Linked DNA regions of Daphnia pulex. Each later gene encodes a partner of the first gene's protein in a complex. Links are inferred from orthologs where the notes say so. Each region holds a gene or a part of one and is shown in the gene's direction. Other genes may lie near its edges. The genes, in order: GATOR complex protein NPRL2-like and nucleoporin SEH1-like.

Region 1 (16,383 bases):
CCTTTTAACAAGCACTTTGGCCCAACCGTAAACTAATCAAAATATTTATTATTTGTTATTGGTAAATAAAACATATTTTCTTTTTAGAACTGAAGAAATTCCGTTATTGGTTCAAAATGTAGCCATGTCAATGGACGAAGTAATTGAGGAATCACGTGCATCGAACGTCACCACTTATGATGAGTAGTCAATACACCAAATTTATTATTTATTCCAAAATAATAAATTTTTTCCCAACAGATCAAATGTTTGGGACGATTGGGAACCCGATTTAGAATCTATTGAACTTTCTATTTTGGAAAAATCGGGTTCTCTTGAACAATCTACAGTACACAACCAGTCTTCGATTAACGTCGTTGAAGAACCGTAGTTGAATTTACATAAATATTATTTGGTGGAAATGATTATTATGTTTTTCTTTACTAGAGGTATTGCAAGAAAAGCAATTGGCATTGAATTACCAATTTCAATTGTTGCCCGTCATCCAGAGCACATAAATGTCAGCAACGGTGTTGTCAAATTATAAAACAAAGAACGGTAAATTTATCAAATATGTTTCACTATTCTCCTTTAACAAATAATGTTTTCGAATTAGATTGGGTGCCTTTTTATGGTAGGGAAGTCAAGTAGTTTGAACTTGACATATCCGGACATGAACGTGTCTTAATTGCTCTTCATCAAGATCTGAAGAAGCTATTGAGTTACATCAATGCGCAAAGTGAACACCAGTTTGCAGAATCAGACATCCTGTTGGCCAATGGAATATTTGTTAGGTCGTTAGAGAAACGCCATAATATCATTAACGCCATGCAAAGAACCTCCAAGAAATGTCCTGGCAAGGTTTATGTGTGTGTAACAATGCCCTATCAAAATACTCCTGCAGCAGTAAGTTTTTTTTCAAATGAAACATCTCAATTAACTCAATAAATAATTTAAATGTTACTCCAATTTATAGGTAATTCCAATTTTCCAAGCTGCAAATTTGAAAGCAGCAAGTGCATTGCCGTCTATCGACGAATGTCGCAAACGGAAATTTTTCCTCTATTGCATTGCAGTCTGCATTTGTTTCCTTAAAGTATAACGGAAATGTTGCAAATTCACCAGTAATATTGTGAAATATTCAAATTACGATTTTCTTACTAATTAATTGTCATTTTCTTTCAGACGCCGACTAGTTATACTACCTTTGAGGTAGTATTGAACTTACAATTCCCACGAAAACTTTTAAAAATTGACAGTACCTCCTTTATGTTTTATAACGTATCAAGATGCTTCAACTACAGCCTCGACCCTATCAGTGAAGTGTGCGCAGAAAACTGTGGTAAAAGAATGACAATGTTACCACAAAATTGGTGCTAACTTTACTTTTTAACACTTCTTTAGCTGAAGAAATACAACCAGTGGTTAACAGGAATTATTCCAATAATTCTGATGATGAGAAAGACTCCCATGGTTTAGAAGAGGGGGAGTATTGTGTGGATAAAGAAAGCGATAAGGATGAGCAAGGTAACTAATAGTAACAGATTATTTGAAGTAACTGATCAGGATATGAAATTGAAAAAGCAGATGAAGATATTGGGGCTCAGCAGAATCCAAAATGGCCAAGGAGATGAGGAAGGTCAGTGAATGGAGGTGAAACTAAACAACAAACAGCAGAAGAGGAATGCTAGAAAGGAGAGATGGCTGGAAAAAAATAGGCAGGAAGAAGATGAACATGAACATGAACATCAAATCAATGTCAGAAGACTTGGCATCGAAATGCAATACTGGTAACTATAACTGTAGGGAAACAAAATTCCATCTCCACATCCACTTTTGTCCGATGCAGATGAGGCCATTGAAGTTGCAATTGTCAAGGCTCTTGACAACCCTGATGGTGGAATTGTTGGAGGAGCTGAATGCGATGCTGAAGGAAAGAATGAGAGGATAAAGAAGCAGCGAACGCTCGACGAATCGAGGTTCGCGAGGCAAAAAGAGGAAGTGTGACGCGATAGAGGAGGCAAAAGTAAGACTTGACGAGAACCAAGCCAAGGCCCACCGCGAAGACAGAAACCAACTGAATTTTGACCTGGTAACAATAACTCCTGAGCCAAGTTTTTACTTTTCAAATAGTTTTGTCTTAAAACAAGAAACTACTAAATGAATCAAGATGCTTACGAAAAATTATGGCATTGTCCAAGGCAAGTTTTAAACATTTAAGGGAAATTAATAATTTTACCCAAGTAATTAATATGTTTGAAATATCCTTTTCGGTGTCGGCTTCCAACAATCCAAAAATTAAAATCTGCCTCACTTTGTTGGAGCTCCTCAAGGAAACCCCAATCCCTGTTCCGGCCACGACTCAGGCCTCAGCATAAGTAGCTAAATTGAGACAGTCACAGCAGCAACGACCAAGCTACCCGGCCCGATCCAACGAAGATCAAGCCTCTGGATTAACTCAGAATAAGAGTCCGAGCCAGAACTGCTGCTTAAAGCAGAGCACGAAGAGGAGGCGCTAAAACAGCCAGCTCTAAACACTCTTCCGCAAGGAGACCAGGCGGTGCAAAAGCTCGCGGAAGCCACCAAGAACCTTGAGTTATTGGTCGAACAGCCACTTGTGTAACTTTTTACATGTCTCTTGTTTGTCTAAATACAAACACTTGTAAAATATAAATAACTTTTTATGTTTTATTTCGATTAAATAAACATGTTGCATTCAGACCGAAAAGGAAGACACGACGAGACCTTTAGCCGGCTGAGACTGCAAAAAAGTGAGGCAGAAAAAGGAAATGAAGAATCTGAAAAAGGGGAAAATGGTAAAAAAAGAACTCCCGAGCCAAGTTGTTGTATTACTTTTCAAATAATTTGATTTGCCTTAAAACAAGAAACCTAGAATGAATCAAGATGATGAAGAATTGTGGAATTGCCCAACGTAAGTTTTTTTTTATTTACGAGTAATTTAAAATAATACCCAAACAATACAATTGTGCAAATACCTATTTCAGGTGTCAAGCTTTCAACAAGAAATGGACTGCTATAGCAGTCCATTTCTGGTAGCAGTTCTAGTTAGCAGTTCTAGTAGTTCTAGTAGCACAATTTTTAAATGAAACATTTACTGTAAGTATTTTATTCTACAACATAAATAATAATTTCAATATAAAAATAACATGTGACAAAAAATTAATTGTATTCTATATTTTAAAGGACTTGGGATTAATAGAGAAAACAATCCTTTGGAAAATGTCCCAAGCCAGCATGATCGACGCATTCCAGCGGGAAAAAAATTCTACGAAGGACTAAAGGAAAAGATAAAGGAAGCCAATCGCATATGTGGTAAGTTTTAACTACATAAAAAAGTGATAGTAGTACTAAAAGATTTCATTTCTTCAGAAATTATAGACAAAATGAAAATAAAACAACCAATTCAACGCTTGGTCTTCTACGATGTGCATAGACCCCACATAGGGCATATATGCCCTATGTGCTTGGAACCAAGTAATACAACTTAAACATTAAATAAATTACTTTCTAAGGCTGACATTCTTTACAGGGCTGGATATGGAGACTTATGAATATGTATCTTGTGACGCAGACTTTGATGTTTTGCCTATTGTTGTTGAGGAGGGAAGTTCTGATGGCGTAGATCCTGAAGAAAATGGTAAAACCTTTTAAAAACTAAATAGTTCATAAGTTCAGTCCCTCCACATCCACTTTTGTCCGATGCAGATGAGGCCATTGAAGTTGCAAATGTCAAGGCTCTTGACAACCCTGATGGTGGAATTGTTGGAGGAGCTGAATGTGATGCTGAAGGAAAGAATGAGGAGGTTGGAGAAGCAGAATCTGGTGAAGCAGACCCTCACATGGGAGAAGCCGTTAAAGAAGTGGAGTACAATGCCAAGGCTGAAGGAGAGAAGGAGTCTGGGGGTGAGAACGGTTAATGCATAGATATTAATATAGAATGATTATAATATTTTATAATTAATAAATAAACAGAGTTAGAGAAATCGGATGTTGCAGGGCCCAGCCGTATGAGGAAACGTCGTTTGACCAAGCGTGGTCCAAAGAATTTTAAAAAAAGTTTAACTTGGTCAAGGATTTTCAAAAGTACTGCAGTGCTTCGGGTAGGTTTTCCACACAAAAAAAACAATTTTTTTTACTGACAATAGATCTTAATTCTAGATACCGACTAAGTCACTGAGTGACACCTAACTATCCTTCAAAACTGTTTACCCTATGTTCCAAAACATTTGTTCTAATTTCATTGCTGCAAATAAAATTCTTTTTGGAAAAATTAAAAATGTTATACCTAGAATTACAGGCAGGTTTTGTTGGCAGACGTGACAGGAGAATTAGTTGCCCCTTATGGCCTTATGAGCATATTTGCAGTCAACGGATGAGTACAAACTAGGCCAAATCCAACATTCTTCACCAAGAACCTTGAGTTATTGGTCGAACAGCCACTTGTCTAACTTTTGTTGTTGTATTTTTATTTATGTGTTTTACTTAACTTACTTGCTACATTGAACATTTTTTTAGGGTGACCAAGGATATGCAAAGAGTGATGCTGTCCACATGAATATTGATGCACTTGAAATTGAATGTGCTACCGGTAACATTGGCTACTTTTGACAATACTGTATGTTGTATTTATATATGTATTCATAATTTGTACTTATTTGTCACATTGAATGTGTCTAGTTCCCAGGTAGCACACAGAGCTGTTACAGACTCATGTAACCGATCTGTTTCACATACTTGTGAAACAGGTCAGTATCAGGCTTGTTACATCTCTGTTTTACAGGAAATTTGTCTGGAATGGCTCTGTTTTACAGGATTTGGTAAAAGTTTGTTTCACAGATCTGGAACAGATCTGTTATCTTTCTGTAATACATAAATCTGGTTTTTAACTGTACTACAGACCTGTTACAGATCTGTTTTTTACTTGAGAAAATTGTTTCTGATTTAGCTCTGTTTCCCATGTTTGTCACTTGTCTGTTTTTACTCTGTATTTTCGAGTACAATATGTTTCTGTTCTGTGTCTGTACTCCAGGTCTGGTACGGGTCTGTATTTCCCTTGTAAGACATAAGTCAGTTATCATCTGTTCAGAGTCTGTACCCCAGGTATGGTACAGGTCTGTATTTTCTATGTAAAACTGAGTTCAATGATTATCTGTTCTGTGTTTGTACCCCAGGTATGGTACAGGTCTGTATTTTCTATGTAAAACTTAGTTCAGTGATTATCTGTTCTGTGTTTGTGCCCCAGGTATGTACGGGTCTTTATTTCCCTTGTAACACCTATAAGTCAGTAATCATCGTATCTGTGTCTGTATCCCAAGTATGGTACATGTTTGGATCCCAATGGAAAACTGAATTAAACGTTTCTTATATGTGTAATATCACTGCAATACCATGCAGTAAGAAGTTACACTCTAATAGTCAATGCAGCTAATGGCTATGAGTTTAGTTCAGTAGGCCTACTCGAACAACAACAATAGTTGTTTATCCACCGGACGGAGAAGTATTATTATACATAAATAGGTATAATAAAGACTTGTAATTGGTGTGGGGCCAATCTTGGTCTTGTTACTATCGGAAGAGACCAGTGGTAGTCATATGTAGCAATCAGTTTCGTGAGAGAGACATGTCAGACTGTTTGTTGAATGAACAAGTGTACAACTGTGAAATATACATCATTATGAAATATATCTAGAACATAATATCGAGTTATGGTGTAGTGGTTAGCGTACTGGCTTGTGAACTCAGAGGTTGATAGTTCGATTCCAGAAGGAGGCAAATCTTTTTTTTTCTTGAAAATCTGTTTTTGGTCTGTAAATCGTGATCCCGTTTTACGGATCTGTCACAGACCTGTATGACAGTCTGTAAAAGTGTGCCACTCCAAACAATTTACAGACTCTCAAAAACAGATCTGAAACAGACCTGAAACAGAGTCTGTGTGCTACCTGGGTTGGACTTTGCTGAAACTAATGATGCTGTCCACCCAACCTCTGACGCTACAGCAGTGGTAATTAATCATTTCAACTATTTTGGTTCCTGAATTAAACCTAATCTAACCTTTAATAATAATGTTGTTATTTCTATTTTATTTAGGTGGACCAAGGATCTGCAAATGGTGATGCTGTCTACGTGACTGTTGATGCACCTGAAATTGAAGATGTACCGGTAACATCAGATACTTTTGACAATAAGGTATGTTGTATTTCTGTATTCATAATTTGTACTTATTTTTCACATTGAATGTGTCTTTAGTTGGACTTTGCTGAAACTAATGATGCTGTCCACCCAATTTCTGACGCTACAGCAATTAAAGTTGAATTGGTAATTAATCATTTCAACTATTTTGGTTTCTGAATTAAACCAAAAAAAGTTCCCGAATCATCGATGAAGCTATTACGCCCATAGTGTAAGTGGTTATTGCCCAGACCAGACCCATATGACTGACCAAAGCATCGTAGCAATTGCAACGAGACTGCCAATAGCCATGAGGAGTGAAAGCTGTCATCTTCATCGACACTTCGGCCACAAAAACGAAGCTCAAACAAGAGCTGATAGTGACACTGGGACATTTTTTAGTCGAGATAAAGTTGCAGCGGCAACAAAAAATGTCCCCCTTGTGGGTGTGTTATAAATCATTTGGTAAAACTGGAAAAAGGGTATTTTTTTCTTATTCCAATAACTTTTTTGCTGTGTTACTTTTGATAAATGTAATTGAAAAAAGTAAAGAAGGATAAACGGGCTTCAAAATAAGACTAAGTGGGGATTTTCGGGTGTTTTTTTTTCTTATGTAGTATGAATTTTTAGTTTTGGGATTCCGCCATAAGCGCCGTGTTAAACACGGCGAAAAAATTTCTTAAATAAAAAACAATGTGTATAACTAATAAATTCATGAAAAAATAGTAAATGTCAATCAAATTGATTCAAATTTGCAACACATGTTTATTGATAGATAAACTATGATTACATGTATTAAACATTTATAAATCGTTATAATTATACCCCTAATTCCCAATTACAAATTTTCATTTACATTTTTTTAAACGATCCAAATGGTCGCTTTTGTCCTCCTTCATTGGTAATTAAAGAAAAAAAATTAGAAATAGTGTTCATGAAAAATTTCTAATTAAAATTTGTTCTAGGTATACTCGTATATTTTTCAGCTAAAATGACTGGACTACTTGGCCCTTGGTCCCGCCCCTGCCAAGCCCAATCTCCGGTCGTAATCAAACAGTTCAAATTCAAATTTTCGTTTTCGTAAATTTTTAGTGCTGCCCCTCCCGCCCCAGCCCAACTTCGGTCGTAAACTCGTAATCAAACAGTTTGTGATGAAAGACGATAAGATTGTCGCTACGCGGCGCTGACGTTGATGTTTATGTTTATGTGTAATCTGAGAGGCAGAAAATGGTCATTTCTTAGACACTTTTCCAGGTCCGATTAATCAGCGAATATTGCAAACTAATCAAATTCAAGTGCCTTGGACCTAAATCACTATAACTTCGTTACTTGAAAAATTTCCCTGTAAATAAGTGATGGCTTGAAATGGTGGCGTTTCTGTAAACAAGACCTCACATGGCGCTTCAGACGGTAGCCTAAATCAAATAAAGGGGCGATTTTGTGTGTTCCTTATCATTTTAACTAATTTTTTTGATTTTTAATGTGAATTACTCATGTTAAAGAAATCCTTTTTCATAGGTTGACTATCCAAGTGATATAGTCGAGTAAATCAAATAGAAAAATGATCAAAGCAATATTTTTTTCCGAGTTTCATCCTACGTTGGGGCCCAAAATCAGTTACCAGGTAATGGTGTAGTGGTGTGTAAAATAAAGTAATTTTGTTGTTTCAGTGCTTTGTCTTAATATCGATTAAAAGGTGCCAGAGGATTATGTTTCCAAAGAAATATTTGATGCAGTTAGTGTTTACATCATTCCTAAAGAGCAGCTGGACAGTTGTATCATTACAGTGAATGTACTAGGGCACAAGATAACAGGTTTTTATTCAAGAATTCTAACAGTCCAAGTATTTTGACTCATTACCATCCTTTTTTCTAAAACCTACAGGATATCCAGTGCGCATTTCAGATGAAAAATACCCACGTAACTTTCTCATTTTCAACTTGTGCTTTGTGTGTGACTCTGATGCCAGAACAGTGCAGTATGAGCTTGTAGTTAGGAAATTAGCTGAGCATTTGGTCACCCTGGAAGTTGAACAGAATTTTTTATCCACTGAATCCAACAGGGCCAAGTTGCCCAAAATTTTAGGTCAAATTCTAAGTGATCTCAATCGGGGTGGCTTGTGCACAGTTACAGGTAGGTACATGAAGATTCTCATTTTTTGTCTAACATTTCCGTTTCCGACATTTACAAATTGATTTGATCAGTTGGGACCTCAACACTGCACTTAAAAGTGATCCAAGTAGCTGCTGAGCCACCCCTGGTATTTGACCACCACGTTCCCGTGTTCACGTCAGAATTTTCTCCTTTAAAACAAGACTATTGGGACCTAACAACCAAACAGGTAAACGAAAATGATTCTCTTATTTTATTCATTTTAATAACCCTTTTTCGTGCGTAAGGTACTGCCATACATTGATGGACGCAGCCATGTCGCTAGAGTGGCAATCGAGGCCGACGTGGACATTGGTTTGGTCAAAGCCTGCATTCAAAATCTCTTGTAAGTCAATTGATATAGTAGTCAAGTGCTGTCCTTCTCTTGACCTTATTTTCTCTTTTCGGTTAGATATTACGGCGTCGTCCAGCTCATTCCCATCTTCCAGTACAGCAACATGTACGCCGCTACACCCAAACTCCGAGAACTGCCCATGAATTCAGATTTGAGTCGAGAGTGCATCGCTTTTGTTGCCAAATCTGGTAGAGAAGAATACCAAGTGTCTTGTTATCATCTTATCCACTTTTCAAGTTGACTGTGAATTTCTTCTCTCGTTTATATTACAGATAGACATCCTCCTTCCTTCCGAGATGTTTTCCAAATGTACTGGTGAGTTTATCCTCTAATTCTTATCAAATCCCCCCTAAATGAATTCATTTTGTAATCGATGACAGTGGGATGACGTACGGGACTACCATAAGAGACCTGTGCTTGCGCTTCAATCCGCACGCGCTTCGCATCGACGAACATCGGCTAGTCCAGTTTGGCGTCCTGCAGGGCATCATCCGCCGCATTTGCAAGGTTAGCGAGTGTGCGCTGTTGATTAATCCAATTGATTATTTCGATTTCTTCCTGGACGTCGGTTCTCGAATAACCCATTTCCCATTGAACTGATAACTCAATTTGCACGCTGTTTGAATGGGCTAGTATCCGGTGTACAAACCGGAGACGCAGCGCGGATCGCACAAGAAACAGATGACCTCGTTGCATCGGCTGTGCACTGGAGTGGCCTCTTACGACGAGATCTGCTGCCGCACCGGACTGTCCTACCACGAACTGGACGACAAAATCGAAGCCGATGTCGACATCTGCGTCCTGTGGAAGTGAAATCCGTTCCCTCCGACCCCATATCTTTTTGTATCATTTGATTTAAGTTTCAATAATAAATTTTATAATGGCCACTTTTTTTTTCTTTTCGATTGTGGAGGAGCAGCAAGTTCAACGGTCGTTGGTGAGGATCACCTTGCACGTCTTTCCCCATCGTTTGCAATCGGATCCGTCTTGATTGCACACACACACAACCCACCAAGTCCTCTCGATCCTCCGTTGTTATCACGCCACTTGGGATGGTGGTGCTGCCCCGGTGTCGAGAGATGAACGGGAACGCCCGCCTTCGTGTTTGGCGATTCGTTAGGAGTCATTGCTGGCTTCCCACCGTCTTGAAAGTCGAGCGAGTTATATAGTAGAATGCCTGTGGAATTTATTTTTTTACCGTTTCCCCTTGCGCTAGACAAGGTGGGGGGCACTCACGCGGGCGAGTTATATTTCCAGCAGCCGTATAGAGAGCGCGGGCTGGAAGGTACACCAGTAAATCTGTCGGCTAGTTGACAATCTTTTCGGCTGTTAAAACGGCGGGGGGAAAAATAGACGAAAAAAGAAACAAAACAAACAATAAAGAAAATAGAAGCCCCCACACACACACCCCACACAAAAATGGGACTGAACTTCCCACCAGCGTAGTAGCTATGCCACATTGGCCGCCACCCAAAAAAACAAAAAACCCTAATAAGATTTACACGCATCAACATGGCGACGGGAGGCCAGAGAATTTTTTTTTTTTCTTTTTACAAATAACACGAAAAGAAAAGATAAAAGCCTCTCTTGCTACTGTTTCTTTCAAAGTAGCTCCCAAAAAGATACATAAGAGCGTCGCCAGGCTAGCTGCTGTTTAACAACATATTTTTTTGTGTTTCCTTTTTTTTTTTTAGAAAAACCCCAACCAAGAAGTTTATGCTGATAAGGAGTCGACAAGCTTGTCGACAAGTGTTGTTAAACCGACGCACACGGTCACCCACCACTTGGGCCTATCTCAATGGGGGCTGCTGCTGCTACTCTCCTACACACGGACACTTCTCAAAGCGTAAATATGTTTTTGTTTGGCGATTCAACTCTTTTTAATTATTTACTATGTACACATAATTGAATTGGTTTAATTATTCTGCATTCAGATATTTGGAATAATAATTATATAGAAAATACTATAGGCTCCGCCAGTTTAATATTACACCCCAACTTCCTGCTGGGCGAACCCGAGAGCCGGCCGATTGGAGCGATTAAATGTCGATCGATTTCCTTAGTAGACGCGATCAACCCTATACGCCGTAGATCTTAAACTGTACATGTGTGATATGCGTAGATATCGAATTTGTCGCTGCTGCTGTGAGGAAATGGTCGATTACACTCGGCTGTTTTTAGCGATGGCTATCAATAATCGACGTCCATTAATAATACGCCGCCATTTTCAGCTTCTAGTCGCCCGATGACTGTGTCGTTTTTCCACAGACTTGGATTACTTTCATCAATCGATCGTTGCACTCCCACCCAACCGCCCACAAATATGCAAATCCGGTCTGAGGGCGCCCAGGAGTTCATAGGGGCCGATAAAAGCACACGCGATATAGTTTTTGCTGGTAGTAAAACCACCAAATCTTTTTTACCAAAACGAGGGACGTGCTAATTTGAAAAAAAGTTTGATGGACGACATTGTGCCTGTCATATTCCACCCTTCCACCCCCCACCCCTCCTTTCAAGACTATTTTCTCGTCTCATTACGCAGGCGCGCAACCCGTTCGTATTCCTTCCCTAGCTGATTGTTTTCTTCTTCCTATGTACTAGGAAAAACTCCGATGTCAGCAGCAGCAAACGGCCTGGAGACCCCATGCTGCAGGTCATCATTCTTTTTCTTGTGGCCCCGAGACTTGTGTGTGTTGCTGGTTCCACATAGTCGCGGCCGTTATAACGTCGTGTAGACATAACCCCTGAGCGCGCAGTTTGTGTTAGCTACGGTTACACACAGCAGCAGAGACACACACAAACACATATGGAGTCGAGTTATTTTTTTCTGTGTGTGTCTTATTCGAATGGCAACGAAAAAAAGGAAAATGGAGACCACAACCAGATTGCGTATCCTCTTCTACTTTGTTCGTGCACCCACCACCATCAACACACAGCAGACACAGGTCTCCTTTTTCGCGCCCGGATATGACCTGTCGCGCCATCCTCCTCACCATCGGGTTTTTTCTCTACCCCAAAAACTTCTTTGTCAGCGCTTAACTGGAAGAAGAATCTATTCATCCAACAACTTTTTGACGGATGAATTTCTCGCCCTTAACTTCATTCATTTAAGTCGCGTGTCGTCCATGTACTACGCGGAAGAGGGGGGTGGGGCCTATATAGGCCTGCGGTAATAGGACACTGATTTGTTTATTTGTAATGCGCCGGAGTATATTACATATCCAAAACCGGAAGAGTTTGGTTGTCTAGCCCCAATAATGTTTTTTTAAAATTGAAAAAGGTTATTCACACTTTAATGAAGAAGCTGAACTCGATTTGTTTTCGCTGAACACCTTCTTCTTCTGTACATTATAGTCAGTCGAGTTGAATCTGCTGAAATAGGAGCCGTTGAACTGGCTCCTAGCTGGATATGCCCGTCACTTGATCGCCAATGAAATGCCCAGAGCAGACAGCAGACGAGGCAAAGTCATCGACCACTCGGATTCGGCACGGTAGATGTGCCCGCTGGATGGCGTCGGCCGTAATGAGTTAATTCAATCATCCGTCCATATGAATAATGCCATGGATAAAACAGCACCAACCCCCGCCCATTAAACACGTCAACAACCCAATTGAGAAAAAAAAAGGGTCAGAAAATAAGTTGAACGGCCGTAGTGTCATCTTAGACGGACCGGAATGAGAGACCAGATCTCGCACTCTAACATCATTATAGGAAGTAAATGTAATCAAAATCAAGAGTTGTTGACAGTCGGCGATGATTATGCAAATATCAATCGTCATCATTTGAATGAACGTCGACGTAACAGGCCGCTAAGATGTTGGGAATTAGCAAATTTCCCCATCGTCCAGACGGAGGGAGGGAAATAAATAAAAAAGCGGGCGACGGGCCGGAATGACCGGAATCGAAAGCGACAAGGAGAGACCCACAAATTTTATTCTCTTCCGTCGCGGAGTAAAAAGAAATTCCCGTCGGTCCCAGTTCACAGAAAACGGGGTGGGGTGGGGTGGTGCGCATAATAACATGCAACCAACAAGAGGGGAGGAAGTCGAAGAAGATGTTACGACGGATGATTTACTATTCGACAACTCCGCACTTTAGATAGTATTGACTTCCGACCATTTAAATTATTTACACTCGGCCTATAGACACACACACTTTAACAGTTGTAATAATTTTTCGTACATATACTTTGTGGCGCCAGGAGAATAACAACTCAATCATCAGCTGTTTCTACTTGTTGACCTCCATGGTAGGTCCCCCCCTTCCAAAAAACAAACACAATAACATCATCTCCTATTTTTTTCCAACGATATTGAGACCTTGACTATGCAGGTTTGTTCATGAGGATCGAGTTAAACTCATGTAGTAGAAGTAGTAAGTACTAAGGAGGGTTGTATAGCACGAGGATGACGTTATATATCCACTCGAGTCGTCAGATCGATGCGCATCTATCCAGTCAGAGGCCTAGAGAGGAGAAGTTAAGCGGAGTGAAAGGGAGACGAGTGCGACACGCCCAGTCAAACTCAATGGAGGGGGTTTGTGACAGTTGACACTGATACGCCGTGTGTCCGAATGGCTCATCTTCTTCTTCTTTTGAGAGGTCACCGCGCTCTCATCAGGACCAACCCAGATGACCTTTTGCGGAGCCCGTGGAAAAATTATCCGAAGAATGTCTGGAACGAACTGTTAATCTCTCTATGGCCCAGCTAACGATGTAGTAGCTTAGACTTTTGGTAATAATATCGATCGTTATATTCAAGTTGTGTAGATGAGAGGATTCGTGTTGCTAGCAGCGCGCAAAACAACCCTATAACCTCTTGATAACCTTTTACGGAAGGCCATTAGAATTGATAGACAGACTGCGGTGGTGTTGTATAAGAGTTTAGACTGCGGAGTCGAATCGACGCAATTCGATCCCGAAGAAATTATAATATTATTCGAAAAACCCTCTCCACGTTCATTTACACAATCAGTTGAGTTTGAAATTGATGGCCTGTTATTCAATGGAGGGGATCCGATATCATCGGCTCTACAAGAAATATTCATTTCGACAGCCTATCGTACAGGCCCATGTCTGATGATTGTGACTCCAAAATGATCAACAGTTTTATGACTTTTGGGTGTATAACAAAAGGTATGACGCAATGTCTGTTCGAGTATAGTGTGTGTTACGATAGACTTTCGGTTTCTCTTTTCCAAACTCGATGACACCATCAACTTGGGGATTTTATTTTTCTCTTTACACTGCAGTCTATTAGATATGCTTCATCGACTAGAATTGAACAGCTAGAGTCGTACAGTTACACAGTCTATATACCCAAAGGCCTATATACTATAGTCATCGGCGGCGCAAAGAAAAACGGCCTGTGCTGCTGATGGCCGGCCACGGATCGCATTTCACGGGGGACTTACTGGCGTCGTACTGGCGACACCGGGGGTCTCTCTCTCTTATTCTACATAGTACATACCCCCAGAGTTTAAATACTTTGAGTCTCGTATTTTTTTCTCTTTTTTTTCTTTTTAAAAAAAGTTAAAATTTCTTAAATAACTCGGAGATAATTGACTAATACAAACAGGTCCGCGTGCCGCCTATAATCAATTGAATCACGCTCAACACTTTGGCCCCTCATTAATAACGGGCTCTATAACGTAAATACGTAGTAAAGTATAGTTGCGCTAATTTTCTGTTTATAAAACATGTATAAACCAAATGACTCGAATAATAATAATAGATAATAACTAAAAGTTATAATAAGTTGATGAACTCTTTTTCTTTTGAATTTTAATGAGAGCCCGCGCGACTTTTTCTCTTTTATAATTGACTTTGATGATTAATAATAAATGTTAGCTGTTGATATCTTCTTCACATGATCCGTTTTGGCCCACCGTTTGGAATGCGCGCACGGACATACACAACGACGACGACGGGCCGACGAGATGGATATGGTGACTGAGTTGGACTAATGAGTAGAGAAGCCAAGAACTTTTTTTGAAATTGTTTTCTATTTTTATTGAATCATCGAAAAGCGTCAACGGTTGTGTAGTGGTGGTGGTGGTAGAGGCGGGGGCAAGGACGACGATTCAAAAAGGGGCCCGGTCTATTATGTTGTCTGTGTCTGTGTGGGAGGCCGGTTGAAGAGTCTGTCGGGAATTTCGACGGCGTTCCGTCACGGCGCGTCGCATTTGATGGAACACCGACGTCTGTCTAACCCTCGAGGAGCTCCTGACAGTCGGCCATCAAAGGGCGGATAGTTTTCCCGAGGCAACACAATCAGGAGCCGGCAGTTATTCTGCGACGATGGAAAAGAATCAGCGCAGCAAACGTCTGCCAATAAATAATACACGGAACAAACGGCGATGAATAATATTATTAATTCAAATTCATTCCCAATAAAATGTTTAACTGCACGCAATCGGGAATCGATTCAACTGTCTCCGACTGTCTCTTCGAGTCAAATTCAAAAGATTTAAAAAAATTCACTTAGAATTTTGAATATTTAAAATTCAAATTCATTTTGGCGCCCATCACCGCAGGGTCTCTTTTAACGTGTAAATGATGATGATGTTATATTTTGGGTGGAATTCTTTTGCAGGGGGGGATAGATACAGGTCCGGTGCAGTATTAGGTATAGAACTGCCTGAGGGAGGGCAGGGGGCGGGACCCGGAGAGAGCCATCACGTCTGCCCGCCGCCGCGTCATTATGTCACAAGCAATCAGAGGGCCGTTCATCAATGCCGCTGGTTTATAATAGCTGCCGGGCCAAAGAAACAAACATTTCCCTTTCTTACGTGGTGAGCCCTCCAGGCATCGAATGTCTTTATCTCTTTTAAATATGAAGACGTGTGTAAACTAAATAGCAGACGAAAAAATTGGATAGGAGCGAGTGGCGAACATTTTTCGGTGATACTGGGCGTGTGGGGTTTGTCCTATTGGTTAAAGAGCCCCAGGGAGAGGAGGAGCCTAAAATGGGGCTCTCAGCTTCTCACAGTCAAAAAGTCAAGACGGACTATATGGCTGCTGGCCTGTACAGCTGTATAGCCGGGCCACTCTGTTGCACTGACATTCAGTAGTTTGATAGACACTTGAAGTGTCGGGTCCTTTTGGCTGGAGAGAAAATGGCTTCGTACACATTGCGCATCAACCAGGCGGCGACGGCCCAGCATCACCACCTACACCACCACAGCAGTGGCCCAGCAAGTCAGGGCTCGTCGTCTGGCGGGAATTTTTTCAATGCGAGTGCCGGTCAAGGCGCTGCTGGAACGGCCGGCCCCGATCTCCTTTCCGTCAACACTTACCTGGAACGATTCTCGGCCGGCGGCGGTGTGGGCGGCCCGTCGATGATGGCCTACCATCACCAGCCGACGGACGTGACGACGATGGCCAGTGACAAGTTTACCAATTACTACAACAACAACAACAACAATCTCAACAACAGCAACTCGGCTGGGAATTATCAGAGACTAACGCCGTCGGCGATGGACACTCAGCAACAACACCACCACCAACAACAACCACAACAACAACAACAAAGTGATTATTTTCTACCGTATCTGGGCGGATCGCACCAACAGCAGATGACGTCCCATCTGCAGCAGCAGCAAATCCAGCAGGAACAGCAACAACAGCAACAACAAGATCAGCAATGGCCGGTGACGATGCCGTACGACAATTGCGCGGCGGCAGCGGCTGCAGCGGCGGCGGCTGCGG
Region 2 (16,173 bases), on another chromosome or scaffold:
TTTCATGATTATACAATGCTACCCATTAGAAGGGATAGGAAACGTTCCAAGATTCCATATAAGAATTCTTTAAATATAGTTTTAAATATATCAAGAGAGTGTAACATAGAGCCCGCCCCATAGTATTCGCAAGACGCGCACATCTCGAATGAAATGAGCTGTGTGGTCATCATGGAAAACCCAACGCTCAGCTGCGTTACCGCCTTGATTGATGAGGATGTAATTGTTATCCGCGCTGCAAAGAAAATTCTCCATTGCACGCCAAACAGTTTGAAATTGATCCCAAAATCAACTTGAAAAAACTGCAATTGCCCAAAGACTCAGCCTTCTTCCCGGATACATTGAGTATTGGGAACAATCAGCAATTTCTTAAATACTAGAAGGACTCCAAGGTCAAGAAATTTTCCCATATTACTGGGCAAGTCCTCAAAATCCACTGCCCTTTTTCGGTTCATTCACATGTTACTCGTATGCATCGACCAAAGAGAAGGAATACGCGAAAATGCGAAGAATGACTGATGCCATCCGCTAAAGTGTTTTTGCCAACACTAGCACAGTTGCTTTGCTCGTGCTTTCATGTTTTCATGCAACCGCTGTTCCTGGTAATATTATATATTCCATAAATTAATTGAATTCTTACAAATATTTTGGTAATAATTTTAGGATGTTGGAGAAATTTATTCGTTTTTCAACAACGAAGTCCACATCCTGTGTGCTGTTAATGGAACAGATTTTTGCAACTCGGCTTCAAAGGCAAAATCGCTAAATCCACGTAACGGACTCAATCCACTTCCTGGATTCTTGAGTATCGGGAACCATAAAAGATTTCTTATAACTACTTGAAGGATTCAAAGGAACAAGAACTAAAAGAAAGAAGAATTTCCCATATTTCTGGGTAAGTCCTCAAAACGGGATCCACTGCCATTGCTTTGGTAATCCCAAAGCAATGTGGTTCAAAGGAAATGGCTGTTTCCGCTATGCAAAGCTGACTTCAACGGAACTACTTAAAAACTACTTAAACTTTACTCTTATAACTTATTTTATACGGAAAAATGGGTTTCCCGAAGCTCCCAAGTTTATCTTTTCCCAAGTTTATCTTTATTAATGCGTGTGTTTATCTTTTTTTTACGGTGTTTACTTTCCCGTCCAACAACTAGAGACCAACTGATCGTTGTACCAGAGAGGAAGATGGGGTAAACCTTGCCAGATCATCACAGGGGCAGACGTTGCCAATTCATCACACAAATAACCAGTTTGGAATTAAGTGGTAAGTTCATTGATGTTTTATATTCGAAACTGTCAAAAGAGAACTTATTGTTGCAAAATTAAACCTGCAGATTATTATCAATGCCCCGCGCCACCCTCTTCACCCACCCAACTTGAATTTTGGTAACGAGGGTTGGGTGGGTTGATTCGTCACCACTTCAATTGAAGACACGACATTCATCAAGGGTATGCCACGCGTCAAGGACGTTGCCGTGCGTCACGGTTGGCACCTAGCGGTGTTGTACCAAAGCGCAACAGCCGCTTTGGTCCCAACCCTACTCACCCGATAAAGCAGTGAAAGACATCTATAGGGTATTTGCAGGAATGAGGGAGCAGATGGAATTCAATACAATTTGAATCAGTTTTTCACGCTGATTCTCACACTTTTTTATTTTATTTTTAAAATTAGAAAATCCCCACGTAATCTCTTCAAAGTTGAGACGAGCTTCATCTAAATCACCCTTTTTTGCTTTTTGTCTTTCGCCTTTAGGCCCTAAGGGCAAAACAGGGTTGTAAACAGCCATAGGCAGCACAAAATGGGTTCTTTTTAGGACGAGTGACCCACTCGTCCTATCCATTATTGGGTGGTTTTTACCAATATTTTTTTAATGGGAGACAATCGAGTGGCACTACAGTGCTCTACTCACTACACCACTTGCTATTGCTTTTCTATTGTATTTAATTCAACGGGTTTGTAATATTTTTGTACAGCGGCTTATCTTTCGTCGTTTTTCATTAAGTTCACCGCATCAGCGCTAGGTGCGCTCAGACTTGGAAGAAGTCCGAGGGGGGTGGAATAGAGTTTGAAGGAGGCATGTCCGTAGAGGACCCATCAAGAAGACGCCATCTCCGAGAAAATCTTCCGCCATATGAGTTGGACAACCATAAGTAATGGCTCTGATATAGGGCTCTTTCAGATCTGTTTTATTTTGCCGTTTTATCTGGCAACGCAGCATGGCGCCGTTCCTTTTTAGCGCGAGAACGGGGAGAATAGGGAGAATGGGACGAATGGGGGAGAAGAGGAAACGTGGGTCCCCTTTTTTTCGTACGCCCTCCTCCCTCCCATTCGTCCCATTCTCCCTCTTCTCCCCTTTCTTCCCTCAAAAAAACGTAAACAACGCGTTTAAATCATTTTTCACAAGAAAACGTGAATTCAAAAAAAATTACATCAAAATATTCCCTATTCATTTACCAATTTAATCACTGCTATAGATTTGTTCAAAGATACACTTGGAATAAACTACACACTATATTCGAAGAGACCCTCAAAAAACCCATAAGAGCTACTCAAAAAGTCAACTTAATATGGCCGCCGCGAGGTTTCCATGGCTGGGGTATGCGTCATTGGTTTGCTCTATTGGGTCATTCCATCCCAACTCGATTTTTTTCGTCGCGGAAAAAATAGAAACTGATGATTTTTTTACAGTGTGTTTCTTATGCATCGATCATGCACTCTATGAAATCTCAGATTTTTAATTCGAACAGGAAGCTGTGAAATTGGAATCAAAGTTTCCGGTTTTGCATTAAATTTGCATGCGTAAATAGTGGTTTTGCTCGTTTTTCGACCATTTCTACTTACGGCATCAAAAAACAAAATACATGGAAAAATCGGAAATAATTCAGATTTTCCGAATCTTTATTCAAAAATTTAATTATGTTTTATTCAGTTACCCTAATACTAATTTTTAATTTTAAATGCATTCAGATAAAATCTCGTTGGCTGTAGAGATTTGAAATTTTTACCGAATATAGAAATCGATAATGTTTAACGTCATAAAAAATTTCCCCGTTGGCCTGAATTAGTTATGATTTATTTAATTTTATCAGATAGCCCTATCCTCTAACATAGGACAAAAGTTCTAGAAGGGGGAGAGGCCCCAAGGGATATGCGTCTAGGGAGTTGCCCAAGGCTCGGTTAAGGGGAGGTCCTGTGTTAAGAGAAAGAGCTAACTTTTCATTTTAAATCAATGATAACTAATTCACGCTGGTCTGGCGGACGCTGAAAATTGTTATGACGATAAACATTATTGATAGGAGAGCGCAAAGAAATCCATAAAAAGAAAAAACAAATGTGGAACTTGCCGCCAGGGGTGATTTTGGGAGGATAGTTTCCCATCTGCTGCGAGTGTCAATGCCCGGCAGAAATCGTCGATCAAGTTTGCGACCGTTGATCAAGTTCCCGGAATCATCCAGGATACATCCTATCATCGAGTAACTGAGATCGCGGCGGCTGTTGATCAAGTGTTTCTGCCGGGACATTTAAATTGCCATTATGTGGACGTTGCGGAGTGCATTCACTTCGACCAATCGAAATCATTTTTGTCTTTTTCCTATGCGCAAACCACATCGGGCGAGCCAAATAAAAATCTGCTGTTCACGGCACCCCTTCATACAGCAACGCGCCGCTAGGGTGTCGGCTAGACCCATTTCTTTAGATACTAATAAGGTCTATACAGGCAATTCACATCACGGTTTTGCGTGTCAATTGTTTCGATCAATTGTTTCAGAGAAATGTTGAAAATCACAATTATGTTTTTTTCCTGTTTTTTAATAGGCTAAAATAGAAGAAAAATAGAATGCTAGTGAAATTAGAAGAAAACATCGTAAGAAGTCAAGCTAAAATAGAAATCGGGAATCAATCATGGTTTTCTTTGCCAAGTTACGTCTTCCAAATCGATATCGAACAAATTGAAGTGCCTAATATTTGAAGGATTGTTAGTTGATCTATTTTCAATCACCAAGTAGTTCTCAATTACTTTTACTTACTTTAAAAACGATGAAAACTGTAAGAGCAGCAGTGAGGTAGCTATGGCAGTACACATCTACCAATGAAAAGAGCAGCATTTCAAAACTCACCAATGTCACTTCATTGCCGTAGAACAAAACGGAATCGAAACAATTTCTTCCATCTGCAAGTACAATAAGGTGGACATGTTATAGAATGCACCTCATATTGACGAAGTATGTTTGATCGAGGTGTACCGTTATAGAATATAGATCGCTCATTTTGCGACATATTCCACCACATTTCTATATCGAGTACGGTTTCCAAGAAATGTCTATCACGCACTTCGTAGTCGAGTTCCCTGAAAGCCTGTTTAAAAATAAGCCTTCATTTGTACAATTCAGTAATATTGTAAAAGGTTGATAAACCTACATGATCCAGGAAAGATGTAAAAAATTCATTCAGCTTGAAAAATAGAGTGCTGGTACCGCTAGACTGATCCAACATTATCAGATCAATTGAAACGGAAAGTAAATAAAAGTAAATAGACGTCACCTGATTCTTTATAAGTTTTCTCCATTTATCTGAAAGAGTCTCGTGGAAGAAAATGGAAAACGTTTGAGTGTCTTGACCCTGAACAAGACCTCGTTGAGCGCACAGATTTTCTTCTTCCCTTTGTAATTGTTGACACATGGTCTGCATGTCGATGTCTGCAAATCCATGCGGCGATCTAAATGCCCGTCAAAAGTAAAATATTTGAATTGTTAATACCAAGAAAGATTTAAAAAGTTAACTGAGAAGATAAGGAACCTTCCGTGAATGTAGAAGCCGTAGCGCGAGTGAATTCGAAGCCAAACTGATATGTTTGAAAGTGTACAGACATCAGTAAATCGTTGGATTTTGTGCTCAACGTAACGTTCGAAGAGCGCGGCATTCAAAATATTTTGCGCTAGGCTGAAGAAGAGATAGGTGGACAAACCAAGCGCTAGGCGCAACACTGTGTTGTAATTTAAAAACGTGTCTGCCATGAAATAAGTAGCTGGAATTTCTAAAGAAAATCGCTCAAACTGGAAGACCTACCAAATGACTGGTGTTTATTTTCACGCTTCATTATAATCACAGCTCACTAATTATACCTTGAGTGTCGATAACACTAGAATGACCTGTATGGATATAGAGCTTTTACGCGCTACTTGAAGTTCGTTCCATTCGTTAGCAACAAAGAACATCCTCCATACGCTAACTATTTCGCCTTTCGTCGGCCTCGGACTCTCCCAGTCAATAAGAAAAATATCGACGTTACATTGTTCTCCGATCATCCATAATACACTAATCGTCTGCAAAGGATCCATAGATACAATCGGATACAATTAAAATGACCTGACTATGAATAGTTCCAATTATTTCAGACCTTTAACGTGAAAGCACTAATGACAAGGTCTTTAATAAACTGTTCTTCTTGCCTTGCAGGAAGACTAACAGTCACTTCCTCTTGTTGTCGAAAGGTCATAAACCAGTAAAAAGTGATGAAGAAAATCACTATTAAAATTACGTTGGCCAATATGTCTGCTCCGTAGACCAACAAGCGAATTAGAGTCTGAAGATCAATTGTTGCTTTATCTGATCTTATGTACCTGGAAATTATTTATTATTAGTGAAAACCCAATCAAAGTTAGCTAATCAAATTATCCAAAGTTGCCAGTACATACCATACGACAATCCTTATCAAAGCATAAAGAGCCCCGAAAGTGCTCAACACGCTCAGTGCAATCTATTGATAAACCAAAAAATTCATTATTGATAACGTGATTGTGAATGCGAGGAACAATGTGATAATTTCTACCTCAAGAGATTTCATAGCTTCATCCATACTAACGGTATTTTTTACAGCGAAATGAATAACGGGTGAATTTCCATTCTCAAGGCTACCAATAGATTCGTAGTTGATTGTTGCATAAGGTAATCGTAATGCTAGTGATTTTTCACCAGACATAACAGAAATTCTAAGAAATGCGTTCAAGTTTCAAAGTTGTTCTCGCTTTTTTTTTATAATGAAAAAACTTACCTAATAGTAAGAGAAGATAGATATCGGACGAAGTCGGTGTTTCCTTCTTGATTACTTCCAGTTGCCGAGTCAAAATTAAAGAACCTCTTTGTGAGTTGCCATCGAGAAATATCTTTATCCTCCTTTGTTCATCAGGTTTTAGTACCGTAGTAATGTTGTATTTTCTGAGCGTATAAACTTACCCTATTACGTTGAACGCCTCCGCGAACAAGGTTCAATATTTTTATTGGAACGTTGATCAATCTTGATTGATTAATTGCCCGATCAACGAAATAAATTTCATAAAAGCGCATATCAGCCATGTTGAAAACTTTCGAATAAACCGAACAGCTGTGATAAATATTGGCATTTCGTTGGATTGGTTTCCAAGTTCCAGTGCAGCACAATGATTTAAAAACCGATTGAAGAGGCTGGATCAATAAATATGTACCATCTAATGCGTATTGTTTAACCATAAAATCCATTTTCTAAAAAAAGTCATTAATGAAAAACTTTTCCTGTTTAGTCCGTAAAAGTTATAGATGCTACTTGATCTTTCAGTATGTTTATCCTGGCGGAGTTTAGTAGATATTCGTTTTGACTATCGTCGTAGTATATTGAATTGCTAAAGCCTCCAGATAATTGTCGATAAAGAGAGCAAGCTGACTGAGAATCGTAGTTGTAATCCGTTAAGACACAGAGATTGATCAGATGTTCGCAGTATTTTCCTCCACCGTGTGCCTTTAAAGAAAAAAAATTGGTGTTTAATAGCACAAACATGGTAAATAATTCCTACCTTGCATTTAATTGCCGTCAATCTAACCCAATTCCGCAAATAATTAGAAATGTAAGGTCTCCCGTGTAAGTTATATGTAAAGATAGTGGGTGTTTCGGGAATCGTGAATAAATCTTTGACGCAAGTTCCGTTCACATCTTCGTATTCACTAGGACAATGACACATGTTCGAACAAGGAACGCACGAAGATTTTGTGTCATCAGGCTGATGCCAAAGCGGGCATTTCAGACATCGTGCGGAGGTAATATTTCCAGTAATTTGAAGGACTGTGATAAAAATTCAGAAATTAATTCTTCTTTACTATACTTAGCAGATAGGACCTAGGTAAATGTGCGTTTTTCATACCTTTGATGTCGTACGGTTCACACGTGAGATTGCTTTTTAGACACATTTCTGACTGAATTGATTGGTTACAGCGTAAGCATTCAATTGCTTTGGACTTTTCATTAAATTCAGGGTAGTAGCCAAAGCCACACTCACAACTCAAACGGTCATCGGAAGATATTTGAAAGACCCCGCAACCTTTGCACTTATGTGATATCGAATCAAAGTAGGAGGAACGATTGCAGCTTTCAGGAAACGAAGACAATATGACATCGTAAGCCTCCACCTTCTTTAAGATGAAAAAAAGCAGGTAATGAGCAACTAACACGATCATCGTCACTTTAAATTTTTGTTTGTTTTGTAAAGCATATTTGTTACCTAGCAACCACTCCCCAGCAATGAGCCAAGTCAGCCAACCAACAATATCAGAAAAAACATCGTTTCTTTCATGAATCAATCTGGCAACGCCCACAACTGTCCCATACTGCCATAGTGCCATACATTTGAAGTTTGATCAGTCGAGCTGTCGGCTGCTTGCGTTCTTGCTTTCTTAATTCTGTGAAATTTGCAAGCAAAAACTTGTTTCTCGTGATTAAGAAGTGATTTAAAAAGTTCTGTAAACATGTTTCAAGCAAGAACGATAAATGCTGAACACAAAGACCTGATTCATGATGTAGCTTATGATTTTTATGGGCGTCGATTGGCTACTTGTTCCTCCGACCAGAGTGTTAAAGTAAATTGTTAGAAATCGAAAAAAATTTCTTGTGTTAACTAAATTGCGGAATTATCTTTCAAGGTTTTTGACCTGGATGAAAATGATGAATGGAGATTGACTGCTGATTGGAAGACTCATGCTGGTTCTGTTTGGAAAGTAAATTGGGCTCATCCTGAATTTGGTCAAATTTTAGCCACTTGCTCATTTGACAGAACAGCTGCAATTTGGGAAGAAATTGGTTTGTAAAATTCTTTACAATTTTAACAACTTAAATTAGTTACTAAATGCATATCCAGTTGGTGAATCAGGGAATTCAACGCAGAGTAAAAACCAAAGTCATTGGGTGAAAAGGACAAGTTTGGTAGATTCAAGAACCAATGTGACTGACATCAAATTTGCTCCAAAACACATGGGACTATTGTTAGCTATGTGTTCAGCTGATGGAGGAGTAAGTTCTAAGATATATTTATTACATTGTTAAATATATAAACCAGATGAAAATGTCAATTTTATAACATAATAGGTTAGAATATATGAAGCCCCAGACATTATGAACCTAAGTCAATGGAGTTTGCAGCAAGAAATAACACTGAAAATGCCTGTGTCTTGTCTATCATGGAATCCGTCATTTTCTCGTCTCCATCCTCCAATGTTGGCAGTTGGTAGTGATGACACGAATGTCGCCTCTGGTGGAAAAGTGTTTCTGTTTGAGTACAGTGAAAGCTCCCATCGCTGGTCTAAAGCTGAAACTATCAACACAATAGTCGACCCAGTGCATGACATAGCATTTGCACCTAACTTGGGAAGAAGTTACCACATTCTAGGAATTGCAAGCAAAGATGTTAGAATAGTTATTCTTAAACCACCTCAGTAAGTAGTTAAAATATTTTAAGGATGGAATAAGAATAAATTTATAATTTTTTTTATTAAAGGAAAGATGCTTATGCAGCAGCTTGTCCAACTTCCCAGTTGGAGATACTGCAGGCAGCCCAATTTGATGACCATCATTCTACTGTTTGGAGAATCTCTTGGAACATTACTGGAACTATTCTAGCTTCTTCAGGAGATGACGGCTGTTTAAGAATGTGGAAAGGCAAGAAATCAAGAAATATTTAATGCCATGTCTGGCCTATTAAATCAGCTGTTTTTACTGTCTATTTCCACAGCCAACTATTTGCAGAATTGGAAATGCATTGCCGTGTTGAAAGGTGATGGATCGGGTGTAAGTCCAGAAGACGGAACTGATCGTGATAAAACCGTTTCTGCAGCAACTGCTCGTTACTTTAAACTTGGCGCAATCAGCAATCCAAATCAAGTACCCTGGCACTAACATTTACTTCCCAATTTTTATGATAATAATATGTCTCTTCCAATCCACACAAATAACTGGGAGTTTTCATTTCTGGAGAAACCCATGGTCTCGAAAATGGAAAGTTGTTCTGAAGAAATAAATGAAATGATATGGAGTTTTAAACTATGTCATTTTTTCATGTCACATTCGTTTAGGGTCAAGTTGTTATAAAAACACTTTTCTCTAGTAGAGTAGCTATTTGTTTTTTTGTTAGGAGGGAAATGATTCAAATGATTTGATCATTTTCAGCTGCATTACTGCATACATTTACACATCTCTAAGGACATTTACAACAATAAACTGTAAGGTCATTTTTGTGATTTTTGACAAAAACTGAATATTACAAAACTCACCTGTTAGATTTTTGCAAACGTTTGTTTTTGTCTACCTCCAGTTTAAAAGTCAGTAGTTCCGTAAATATTATCAGTAAGTATTATTTTGACGCAAATAAGAAAAGAACTAAGGATTTGTGATCTTCGTCAAATTTTGGGTCGATTGCATGTGTCTGTAGGAAATATAGGAAAATCATCCTATTCGTGATTTTCCCTAAACTAGTGATAGCCATCACAAAAATTTACGATTTTAGTTTTAAAAAAATCATTTTTAAACATGGGAAATTGAGCTATCAGTTCCTTCCGGTAAATTTGTATAATTCTAGCAAGTGAACTTCATTCTCTTTACAGTTTTTTTTTTTAGATTTGAAGTTAGCAGGTTAATACAAATAGAAATACGCTGTTTAAGTGTTGTAATTATCTAGATGGCTTAATTAGTGGACTGCCTCGTCGAGTTGCATCACAGTTTGCATGGGTAGATATAAAACTGTGTGTAATCAGCACGATGACCGAAAATAGTAAAATGCATCTTTGGTACCTAAGTGTTAATTAAAAACAAAGCGATCAGTTTTCTTAATATTATCTGACAAACTCTCAATTTCTCGGATCTCATACTTCATGCCCTTTTTACCTTGTTAAAATTGGTTAAAATCAGACGAAAACATCCTATATTAAATAACAACAATGATAAATCTATATAATTGACGAGTGAATACGGCTACAGCTATATCTTGTTCGTCTTTAGTCTTACCCGTAGTTACCCGCAGATAAAGTGATGATATTCAAGTCGATGACTACAAACTAAATTGGGACTAACTCATACAAATTCATGGAAATAACAGAACTTTGCCAAGTTTTCCGTTTATAGCATTACCCCTTATATTTAAAAAACTTTGTTCGTTTGCTTCTTTTATGAATCTTTCAGAACACAAGTGCAAAAATTTTCAATTTTGCGGGGAAATAATACTCTGTTGCTTAGTTCGGCATAGCTATAACACAATATAGGGTGTGCGGGTGCGGCATGTGAAATCACTGTCCATCAACCGTGGCGGCTGCATCTGTACTTGTTAGCTCATAGCCATCGGGCAGATGTATAGGTGGCCTACCAATTACCTCCGCTGTCTATTTCGATGCTATTCACCTCAATGATCACAGCATGAAAAAGCCATACCATTCTTCTCGCTTTACATCCCCCGAAACCAATGTGATATGATAGCCTAGTCTTCCAGTAACACTGGTTATTGAGGGTGCTAGTTGCAAGCTCCTCCCTTTGATACATCTATCTTGTCGACTAAGGAAAACCAAAGCCGTTCGCGGGTCAGCCATCGGTTTCATTAGTTAGCAAGATTGTCGCCCAGTGATGTTGAGTTGTCGGAGCTCTTACTCAAGCAAATCTATTTAGACGTGTGCATTATTTCGAACCTAGAAGATGGATTCCGAAATGATCAACAAAGAGCAGGAAATTAATCAAGAAGGTTCCACAACAGAGGAGTCCACGATTAATAAAAACATTGTTAGAAACAGACTGCCGCAAGAAGGAGTTTTCATGGCTGCTGTAGACAAACCAATCGAGTTAATTACCGTTAGGCCGAAACCGAAAGTTGATTTCAGCATTGAAGCAATCCTATCGTCTCGAACATCTACACCATCAGCGATTGTTGTCACTTCATCGGAAATCTTCACCTCCGAATCCAAGTCGAGGTCCATCAGCGATCACAGCGATCCCAACTTTTCCTGGGTCTATTGTACACGCTACCGACCTCCGAAGCTTCCACGTGAGTCATTTGTAACACTGTTAATAGAGATAGAGACATTTTGTTAACTAATGTAATATTTCTAAAGGTGCTAAAAGAGAAATGAACTTAAGGAACCGTTACCGTAATCCGCGCATACCCTTCTCTACAACAGAGGTGGGGGCATTGGAGAGAAAGTTTCTGCAGTCTCCTTATCTTGGTAGCAACGACGTCAACGAGTTGGCCGCGGCACTCAACATGTCCCCCAAAAGAGTATGTATTATTTTCAACTATCCATAAATATTATGCTAAATCTAATTCTACTTTCATGTCTAAAACTGCTGCTGATTAATTTAAGATTTTTTAATTATTATCCAACGTACGAAATTTTATGTTGAAATGCAGTCAGACCATCTGATGATCCGTTACAGTATGTGTGTATCTGTTGCTTTTCACTACAAAATTTAGTTTAAATTGAAAAATGTGGGGGGTGATTTACCTTTCGAGAAACGAGAGCGGAAAAGTTTTTTGTTAGCGGTAAAATGAATCCAAGCAGAAAGAATGTTTGTGTTGGGCGCTGCTCTTTTGTCGGTAATCTATTGAAAGAGCGCAATCCATTCAAATGCAGGCAACCGTGTGCTAACACGCTAACCAATAAGAAAACCATCATGTTTGTTGTAGGTATTGTGCAGCTTTAGCCCCCATCGACGTGACCTAATACTAATTGAGAGAGTAACATACTGTATCATGATAGAATATCCGTACGCGTGCCGACAGTCGGTATCGAGTTTCAACCGAAACGGGTCCTATCGAATTCCTCTCACATTACAAGTTTTCTGGTTCTTTCAACGAACTTTGTAGACTGTTAATGTTATCAGTTTCGAATCCGATTGACTGTGAACAACCTATTTATTTGTTTCACCCTCTTTTTTTTTTATCTCTAGGTAAAGATTTGGTTTCAGAACAGAAGGGCTCGCGAGCGTCGTGAAAGGGAAGTTCAATAAAAACACACGTACGTCTTTAAGTTTCGTGTATTGGAGTGAAGGTGGCTACGTTTCGAATCCACGGTCGGCGATTAACATGCAAACAACACCAGCAACGCAATTTCTCACTTAGCATTTGTGACCCATTTGAGTTTGTTTGCGGACGGGATGTTTGTTTGATGAAAAAATGTACAGCCAACACGAGTGCAGTTTGATCCATACTTGCACGCCTAGAATAAGAAATTTCAATTCGTTCATCATTTTAAGAAATTGTAACAATTATTTACTAATCATGCAAAGTATAAATTATGTATCACTATTCGGGAATACAAACATTTTGATATACAGTAAAACAAAATAAAAATTGTGCTTGCTCAGTTAACTTACCGGAGGATGGAAGAAAAGACAGCTTACATTGTTACAGGATGGGAAAAACTTGCAAACCGTTTTGCCATTCACAACCGGTTGCTGCTGATGCATTTTTGCTGAAGGTTGTATTATCTTTGGTGCAACAGAAACGACAACTTGAGATCGTTGACTGTGCGTATAAGGGCACGATTTCCGAGTGCAAGTAGTGTCAAATTTGCATGGCGGGTGAATAAATAAACAATTTTCGCCAAATAGACAAATCGGAAAATTTCTGCGACGAAGAATATATGTAAGGAAAACGAAATGTTGAAAATTCAAGACAATGAACCTTACTTGCACGGGGTTTTGGGGTGGTGGAAATGGCAACGGTCTCCTTGACGGCAGTTTGGATAAAATTTGCAACGTTCCAACGTTTGTTGAACTTCAGCCTCAGTGCCTAGATGTATAAAATCAAAATTTGTTATTAACACGTGAAAGAGACATAAAGTGAAATAGCAAAAATTGTTACCGGTGCTACGTCTTCGAAAAAGCCGGGTTTTAACTGGCTTCCGCTCGGCATCTTTCATTTCGGTTGCATCATCGTCATTCAAGTCTTCGTCAAAGCATCGGCTCATTAAAGAGTTTACACCGTCAAGGGTGACAATGAAACGTGTCTCGATTGTCTGGATGTCGAGTGGTGAATCAACGGGGCTTTCCATTTGCTCATATGAACTTTCGTCAGGCACTTCTACTTTGGTGAGAACTGTCTCTTGAGGTTCCATTATGGCAAGGTCAGTATCTTCAACAATTGCGGCAGACGGTTGGCTATCAACTTCCATAGCGGAATCATCGGAAACCTGGCAAACAGTAGAGTTTGTGGTATTGACAGCAAGTGTTTGGGGGTTTAGGTTCTTTTCACGATATTTTCGAGTGAAAAGCGCTGGTAGAGACTTGGTCTCAGGTTCCGTAACTTTAGGTGGATGGGAGATGACAGACTTCTGTGCCTCAGCAACAGCTTTCAGAATCAAACAATTTGTGGCTTGCATTTTTGCTGGTAATTTGCGTCTGAAAACGGACAGATACAGATTATGAACTAATGGACTCATCTATTTTCAGAATTAAAAAAAATTGCCTGGCTGTGACACGAACAATGCTGTTGATTCCGGTTTTGTTATTAAAACTTTCTTCGTCTTCTTCTTCTTGTTCGTGTTTTTCAACCTTCAGTTTTGTACGTTCAACAGGTTTGATTATTTGACTGAGCATAGGTCGCACCACGGAAACAACTTGAGATGAGATGCGGCCGTCTGTTCTTCGTGGGCGACTCCTTTCTTCTCTGCGAACTTTTTTAGCAAATCGATCTTCGGAGCTTCTGGTTTGTCGCCGTTTTTTCGGATCAGAAAGTGATGACTAGTAGAAAACGATGAATAATTTAGAAATGAAACGCTCACATTCAGAATAATTATTCTTACTTGATAGTTGGCGGATGATGCTGAATTCCTCTTTTTCAACAGTTTATCTTCAGAACCATGAAAATCTTGTTCGATTTCCTCCCTGATGTTGAGGCAATCATCATCCATATCTCCTTCAGGAGAACGATGTACTTGTACTGAAGGTAGTGAGTGTAAAGAAACAGGCATTGGGACGTATGGTTCCTTAGATTCAAGATTTGATGGAATATTATGGCTTGATGTAGCATTATTATGAGCCTCCATCTGATTTGATTTTAACAGCCGGGAAGGTGATTGTTTGACTATGGGAAAGGGATTTTCAACTTTAATCGGAAGGGAACATACTTCAACTCCTGCTTTTGGTACTACAGAAGTTACTTCTTTCACTTTGTCAGTAGCATTACTACCACCAACAAAAGCCTCAAGCTTTTCAAGTACAATATGTAGCCAATCTGTAAATTTGTCTGTGTGGCTTCCAAGAAAAAGAGACAATTCACTTGTCATTTGGCTCTTAGATCTCCTGTTTGCGATCATCACCTATTAATTACAAAATTTAATAAAATAATTATGTAGTATGAAAATAATTCACATTTATATTTGGTACTGTACCATTATGTAGTCAGGTAATTCTTCATCAACATAAGCCCCAATCTCTTGAAGTTTTGCTTTCACAGCACATTTGATTTTGTTTCGAATTTCATTTGTAATTCCTTCCATTTTTATAAAAATAATCTTCTCCTTAAACAAAATCACCAAATTCTAATACAAAGTCTTCTTCTGAGTTAGTCAATTTTTAAAGATTTCTCTAGTTGAAATTTATATAGTCCCGTTTTATTTTTTGTTGTTCGCTTGCAGCCGATGACACGGGACTGGAAATGCTGAAATACGGGATGAAAGCCTCTTCTTCCTAGGCTTCTTTCTCGTGAAAAGCGCACTGCGTGCTGCCGCCTGCCGCGTCGGCGTCTGCATAGTGCATATGAGCATAGCACAATGCAGAGCATAGCACAATCATAGCTCTGCAAAGTCTTATTTGTTAGTTCATTATCGTTAATCAGGGGATAAACCACATAATTACATAATGTATGTACTGTATACTGAATAACTGATAAGAGCTTGTTTTGCACTGGCATAGCCAAGTCATTACTCTGCTATGAACTGAAAAAGTAGATAAATAAGTCAGCCAAAAATATGAAATTTAAGAATAAGGTAATAAAATTTAAAACCATCAAGACATTTGAAACCAATTCACCGAAACGCTTCACCTGTTATGCAATCAACGCTGTGCCAAAAAAACATTTACAGTTGTGTGTGAAAAACGTCTACAAAATTTGACATTTACAGAGCGTACACATAAAAACTGAGTAAAATCCGTCTAAGATAGCAGAAATTATGACTTTCAAGCTGAACAGGAATCTATTTTATTAATATGCATTAGTGATCTTGTTTGCCAACGGGATTTTTTTCGAAATCTCATTTTGAAACCGTGGGCGACTTTTATTTATTGGTGATATGATAAAGCCTACCACAGGGTATAATTTTCACTCGGACCTTTTTCAACGTCACTGGCTTGCTCAAACTTTTGTTGCCGCTTGCAGTTGATAATGAAACGGATTATATGGATTAAAAATGTCAAGTATTTTTAATGCTACTTTGTGATATGCAAGGTAATGTGTGAACAGGGCGTGTGAGTGGGTTGATTCCCGTTTTGCTTCAATATATAAAGGCCAAAATTTTAAACCAAATTACACACCAACTTCTTCTCTGCTTCCGTAAGGTAAGAACCGTTTTATAATTTATTTTACTCGCCATACTTATCTTAATCTGCCTGTGTGACGAAAAAATGTTAAACGGTGTAAAATGAATTAGTTTCAGACTTTCAGTCGTATTGAAAATGAAAAACTTCGCGTCGTTCGTTTGTCTGATGCTCGTATTGGTGGCTTCCACCTCCGCTTTGCCGGGAGTCGCTCGCGCTGCTCCACAATGTCCGGAAAACGAAGCAGGCAACGTAGTTTTCTTCCCTGACACTACCAATTGCCAGTGAGTACAATTCATGAAAAAAAACACTACCCATTTCTCAAAGACAATATGCAATCAAATAAATAATGACT

The links.
Region 2: GATOR complex protein NPRL2-like (region 1) and nucleoporin SEH1-like share a complex: the UniProt entries of both Drosophila melanogaster proteins name them as parts of the GATOR complex. The link is inferred for Daphnia pulex from reciprocal best matches to the Drosophila melanogaster genes Nprl2 and Nup44A.

The regions. Positions count from the first base shown.
Region 1 is NC_060028.1:1,950,671-1,967,053, reverse strand, and holds GATOR complex protein NPRL2-like, read left to right. Parts: upstream 1-7,342; 5' UTR 7,343-7,608; exon of another isoform or gene 7,609-7,686; 5' UTR 7,687-7,729; coding exon 7,730-7,792; intron 7,793-7,864; coding exon 7,865-7,982; intron 7,983-8,052; coding exon 8,053-8,301; intron 8,302-8,372; coding exon 8,373-8,509; intron 8,510-8,567; coding exon 8,568-8,665; intron 8,666-8,731; coding exon 8,732-8,862; intron 8,863-8,946; coding exon 8,947-8,989; intron 8,990-9,054; coding exon 9,055-9,181; intron 9,182-9,307; coding exon 9,308-9,487; 3' UTR 9,488-9,561; downstream 9,562-16,383. Other genes in the region: pituitary homeobox 2-like, read left to right, coding at 15,792-16,383. UniProt on the Drosophila melanogaster protein: An essential component of the GATOR subcomplex GATOR1 which functions as an inhibitor of the amino acid-sensing branch of the TORC1 signaling pathway.
Region 2 is NC_060020.1:7,743,263-7,759,435, forward strand, and holds nucleoporin SEH1-like, read left to right. Parts: upstream 1-7,602; 5' UTR 7,603-7,777; coding exon 7,778-7,888; intron 7,889-7,951; coding exon 7,952-8,108; intron 8,109-8,166; coding exon 8,167-8,318; intron 8,319-8,393; coding exon 8,394-8,740; intron 8,741-8,802; coding exon 8,803-8,963; intron 8,964-9,036; coding exon 9,037-9,200; 3' UTR 9,201-9,344; downstream 9,345-16,173. Other genes in the region: meckelin-like, read right to left, coding at 3,883-3,963, 4,033-4,175, 4,249-4,360, 4,424-4,486, 4,547-4,721, 4,802-5,067, 5,128-5,328, 5,403-5,625 and 7 more; zinc finger CCCH domain-containing protein 14-like, read right to left, coding at 12,395-12,499, 12,657-12,909, 12,972-13,074, 13,147-13,682, 13,750-14,024, 14,087-14,602, 14,675-14,782. UniProt on the Drosophila melanogaster protein: Probable component of the nuclear pore complex (NPC). Involved in maintaining the localization of another nucleoporin Mgtor to the nuclear envelope of early meiotic female germline cells.